Linked DNA regions of Nothobranchius furzeri. The protein of the gene in region 1 purifies or fractionates together with the protein of each later gene. This does not show direct contact. Links are inferred from orthologs where the notes say so. Each region holds a gene or a part of one and is shown in the gene's direction. Other genes may lie near its edges.

Region 1 (3,531 bases):
GAGTTACCCTCGATAGAAAGAATAGCTTTGCTATGCAAAAAAACACCTCAGACAGAAATCCAACAGACTTCAGACATCACACAACAGAAGTGTCCACTAGGTGGGGAGGTAGGGTTGGGACTCTCCTCACTTCAGCGCGTGCAGCCACATGGAGCAGCGCTCATCACCTCCATTTGGACAGGGGAGGGAGATAATGGGTTAGAGGGCACAGTGACTCCTAGATACGGTTCCACGGCCTTCACCGGTCACAGTCCCGCCCAGGCTGGGATAGGGAGAAAGGGTTTCCATGGCGACGGCAGCATTCCACATTTCTTCTGAGGGGAGTTTTTACTTCAGCCTCACAGGCTCAAGGGCACCAGATTCAGATAAGAATGGTTTTGGGGACAGACAGAGATAACTTCCTCTCTGTCTTAAAGTTCTGTTGGTCTTCAACCCCTCTAGATCCAATAATGGCGTAATTAATCTATCCCAATCCGTGCTGATCCATCCACTCGCTCCTTGATGGAATCCACCTTCTGTGCCAGAGCCTGAATCTCAGCCAAAGTTCCAAGCTTACAACTCATCTCGACAATTATATGAGTCTGAGTTTACAGCGCGGTGTAATCCATCCCTGAGCACCCGGATTGAGCCAATATTCCTCGAAAGCTCGTTAATGTTCCGGTAAGCCAGATAACCGCTCAGGCCAAACAGCAGGAATCCCGACACCAAAACCACGAATATCCAGACGTCTTCAGAATCCTCTACAGACAGTTGAGAGAGGCAGATCATGTTCCACTGTTTCCAGGAGTCCATGATATACCCAGCTGGCTCTGTCCCAGAAGGGCAACCGGGAGCCCCTTCTCCCGTTCTCATCACTGAAAAAATCTTATCAATCGCGTTGAGAGACCAACTGACCAGGTCCATGTTTAATAATCTCCAGTTTCCAGAAAAAATGCAGAAAGTGCCGTGCACAACACAGGACAAAGAGCCTTGGGAGGAGGAGGGAGGGAGAGGAGAAAAAAGCGTCTGTACTCTCCAAGAGCCGGAAGAAGAAAGTACACCCTAACAGCACCTAAATGTTCCTCCGTGCTCATAAAGCAAAGCGAAAGCTGGCCTAGCCTCCAGCTGAGGGGCTTGTTCCGTCTGCCGGGATTCCTGAAGTGGTTCTGATGTTCACTCATCTACTGTAGCTTACGTCCCGTAGTCATCGTCACACACCGGTCCGCGTTTGACCCGTCCCCGTGGGGAGCGGTGTGTGTAAAACTGCACAGTTACCATTTATGTTAGTAAGCGAAGACAAAGGGAACTAAACCATCTGGAAAATGATTCATTTCAGCTGTTTGTCTCCAGATCTGCTGTGTAGCTGTGAGTGTTGGAGGCACACGCCACCACACTGCCTCCAGATGAGTCGAAACCTTAAGATTACATTTCTCTGCTGGTTCAACTTGACTCAGATGGATCTGAGCTCCTCTGAAGCCTTTTGGACTGATGCTGTTGAGTTGTTAGCAGGGAAGGATGACGGTTTTCTTTCCTTTTTGTCTTTTGTTTTCCTGCCTGACCGTTCTTGATGTTTCCTTAAAGTTTCTTTATTTTAACAACTAAAATAGCATTTGAACCTTAAAACTCTTATTTAAACAGATTTCTAAGCTCTGGTGTCTGTGGCAGCCACACTGCATAGGGTTCACACGGGGCAGACGCAACCATACGGGATATTTGTCCTTAGTTCAGCCGATTAAAGTCAGGCACATCTTGGTGCTGTTGCAGAATTTCATTCAGATGTATGTTTATGTTCACTAATAGCTGCATAATAAATGCTCTTAATTAGCTTTACGTAGGGGACTAACTTTAACACTGAATAAGTTCAGATTTAGTATTAAAATAAGGTGGAAAGTGTCTCTTTCACATCGGCATCCTATCGGCGATAGAAAAACCGTACCGGTCGACCTCTAGGCCACACGATGGAGAGCCAGGGTTTGCTTTCTGAGAGTTTCATTAAAACCTGTTCAGTATTTAATTAGATATTATACACACACACACACACACACACACACACACACACACACACACACACACACACACACACACACACACACACACACCAGCTAGGTGTAGGTATTATTTCTAGAATCCGGACCGTTTGTTTGCTCAGAGCTGGAGTTTTTCTTTACCAGACCCTGGCTGTTTCTGTTGGGCTGACTCTAGAAAAACTAAACTAAACAAAGTATTGGAACAAAGAGGGCGATGTCTGACTTACAGTTCAACATTTGCCACCAGGAGGCGATGTGCGATGAGGACATGCCTGCTGTGTTCCAATATTTCACCAAGGTACCCTCACTTCCTCCCTGCTTCCGCCCTTTCCTTTGACTCTCTCCTTTAGCATGTGGGATTTTTCCTTCTCAGGAGGCGTTTTGTGAGGAGGAGTCGGGCGGATTGGACCTCAAGGACCCCAACAGGCCTCGGTTCACCCTGCAGGAGCTGAGGGACGTCCTGCATGAGAGGAACGAGCTGAAGGCCAAGGTGTTCCTGCTGCAGGAGGAGCTGGCCTACTACAAGAGGTGATCAGGAGCATCTTAGCCTGAGGACACTCGTGATTGTATGATTCCTGTTACCCCCTACAGTGGGCTCAGCTAGGAAGGTGAGGAGGGGAAACATAAAATGGACGAGTCTAACGTAAGGTCACCCTCAAGGGGGGGAAGGCATGACAAAGCAAAACCAACTCAAAATGTCCTTGTCTCCACAGGTTTACTAAAGGGGGGGGGGGGGGGGGGGGGGGCAAAACCCTCACCTAGAAATTAGCCATGGTGGGTCTAAAAGACGAACCAAACTAAGATTACCAAATTAACTGAGAACGTCCAGGCACTGGAAATCCTAAAATTACTCTCCTTTGTTGAAAGGGGACTGGAAATCCAAAACGGGCAAAAACCCACCGGGTAGTTAACCAAGGTGTGTCTGAAAGACGAGCCAAACTAACTGAAACTGTCCAAACTTCAAAAATTCTACCTACTCTCTCTAGCAGCAAGCACAAAACTGCAAAAGGTTTAGACGGAGCCGAGAAGCACAAGGGAAGAGAACACCAGTTGCTGCTGCAACCCACAAACAACTTCTCTCCCCGGATCAGTCCCAGCGGGCTGTGCCTGCCGCCCTGGTGCTGTCCATGGTCCAGGAGGAAAGCTGGTTGTTTCCCAAGGGCAGCTGTCCAAGGTGCTGCACTGCTGAACAGGGAAACGGCACGCCCTGGGCCAGGAAGTGCTGCACACACACTGGGGCTCCAACACGGCGGCGGCCCTAACAGTTCCTGTGACTTTATTTCTCTCTCTGATCTCTAGCAGTGTCACATGATGTAGTAGCTAGCGTCGTGGAAATACCTCGTTGTTTTTATCTTTCAGCGAAAAACACAAACTTTTCCTTCAGCTCTGAACGTCCTGTCTGGCTGTGCATAAGTAACATTAGTTTTAAAAGTTCATCCCCAGATGACTTGTTCACTGTTAACCTGTTAGCTTTTTACGTATAGATTATATTCTTTCAGGTCAGACGCTTAAGAAGAAGGTTGAA
Region 2 (2,305 bases), on another chromosome or scaffold:
AGGAGCCTTCGTGGTTGGCTTCTGCAAACTGGTTAAGAATGATTGTGATTGGCTGATTTCTGCGTGAAATGCAAATCAGGTCCACAAAGTCTAAATGTCTTCTGTGCAAATATTTCGCCCATCGTCATTTATTGGACTGATGAATATTGGTTGGAAAACATTTTACATGTTCAATCTTAGGACAAACATTCCACTCCATATTTTTTAAGTTTGTGATTTTTTTGGGGGGCAAAATGTTTTTAAATTGATACGAATTTTAGGCTACTTCAGTTGAGCTGGAACAATTTTTTATGGTAATTTTTTTTTATATTTTTATGATGCATTTGTTTAATCTGAGCCCTGGTCTGACTACTTAAAATACAGATCAGCGTTTTGATGTTTGACTAAATTTCATTATATTAATTAACTTTAAATTAAAACCGTTCCTGGCCCTTCCTGATTCTCCAACAGCTGAATGTCTACCTGAGTTACGTGGTAAACTAGTACGGTGCATGCTTTAGCATCATTTGGGTCAGTGGGTGGAGTTGATCCAAGAAAAAAAACAACAAAAACAAAAGCATGTTTTTGTTTGGCAGGGACACAGCAGGTCAGGAACGGTTCCACACCATCACCACCTCCTACTACAGAGGAGCGATGGGCATCATGCTGGTCTACGACATCACGAACGCCAAGAGCTTTGAAAACATCAGCAAATGGCTGCGCAACATTGATGAGGTGAGTGTTGCATGTTGGGAAGTCTCCCTCTCGGCTGGTCTGGAAAAGGTTTTATTGGTAATTCCTCACCCTGGGTTTTAAAGAGGAAAGGAATCACAATGACTTTCCTGTTGACTACAAATGGGACCTTTTGCTCCAAAAGCGTACAGTTGAATCTGCGGAAGCTGAAATTTTGATAAAGGTGGAAGAACAATGTATCAAATGATTTAGCTCTGTGTTTTTGTCCCAAGGTCCTTCAGAGACAGCAGTTTAAGACAAAAAAACAATCATCTAGGTTTAAACGGAGCATTATCTTTTAATTGTATTAATTAATTGGAGTTTTCCAGTTAAATTTAGTCTTAAAAATTGCGAATATCATCTGGCTTTTAGTGTTGCGATATTGTATGGATATTGTGTCATAAGATTCTTGCTCTGTGCTTTGGCTTTAAAATGTGAAATTATGTTTTTGTTGCTATTATTTATTCTGCAATATTTCCTGGAACACTGAAAAAACATTTTTTAAACTTTCTAACGGGTCATTCTGAGTGTTTCATGCAGGCTGAAAATGAAAATAGTCTCCTACACCTATCTCCTGCATTAGCTTCTGATAGAAAACAGACGGTGAAACTCTAGGATTAGAAAAGCCTGACAGATCTACGTCACACTGTCGCTTAACATTCATGGACTCACCCATCTTGACTCACGATGAGGAAGGCTGTTGTTGGTTTAGCATCCAGGAAACCGCAGAGAACCCCTCGGCTAGTAGAAGCTAACCGTTAGCATTAGCAACTCCACCACACAGCAGAACTCCTCCAGGCTTGTGTTATTTGTGGAGATAAAACATAAATGTTGCAGAGCAAACAGTCAGTGGTAGAGTCATGCTGCTGTTAGCCAATCAGAGGAGGAGATGTCCGAATATCAGGAAATAAGACTCAAAAACCCGCCGTCTGAAGCTACTTTCTCCAGCTGACTTGTACTTCATGATTCAGGCACATCTGAGCTTTTTCCCTCCAGAGTATGTCTTACAAGGCATCCATTCCTACTAGAGACCTCTGGAAATGTATGTTCATCACCTTAAATATTCTGTTTTCAGCATGCGAACGAGGATGTGGAGAGAATGCTGCTAGGCAACAAGTGTGACATGGAGGACAAGAGGGTTGTACTAAAAACCAAGGGGGAGCAGGTGAGTTAGTTGGTATCCTGTTCTGTGATGTTTGGGAGATCAGTGAGTCTGTACCAGCTGATCACATTTCAGTCGACTCCACATCAGGAGCAGAGCGTTCTAGGTGCAGCTCAGTGTTTACCTGCATGTGGAGACAATAATCCTTTAATGATGCATCCTTAGATTAGTGTTTTTATCTTTATAATCGTGGCTTTAAAGGTGAGCCTTGTGAAAACAGTTTTCAGGTAAATTGTAGTTTCTGTTACCCGTAGTTGGATGAGCTTTGGTGTGAGAACTGTACCTGAAGACTTCTAAGGAGGTTTACATTAGATTTCATCTGCATTGATCCGACATTTGTACGATAATTCCACTCTAAAAGACAAGATTGTTTATTTATTGACCCAATTGGTTTGTTTGAATGAAGATTCAACTTTAACCTGATTTGTTTGC

What was found. Proteins that work in one complex are often made in the same cells at the same time.
Region 2: the proteins of rilpl1 (region 1) and rab10 purify together in Homo sapiens (co-immunoprecipitation; 3 studies listed by BioGRID and IntAct, with this or other methods). This does not show direct contact. The link is inferred for Nothobranchius furzeri from reciprocal best matches to the Homo sapiens genes RILPL1 and RAB10.

Annotation. Positions count from the first base shown.
Region 1 is NC_091746.1:75,752,693-75,756,223, forward strand, and holds part of rilpl1 (RILP-like protein 1), read left to right. Parts: intron 1-2,253; coding exon 2,254-2,304; intron 2,305-2,379; coding exon 2,380-2,534; intron 2,535-3,531. UniProt on the Homo sapiens protein: Plays a role in the regulation of cell shape and polarity. Plays a role in cellular protein transport, including protein transport away from primary cilia.
Region 2 is NC_091742.1:11,399,508-11,401,812, forward strand, and holds part of rab10 (ras-related protein Rab-10), read left to right. Parts: intron 1-575; coding exon 576-714; intron 715-1,786; coding exon 1,787-1,876; intron 1,877-2,305. UniProt on the Homo sapiens protein: The small GTPases Rab are key regulators of intracellular membrane trafficking, from the formation of transport vesicles to their fusion with membranes.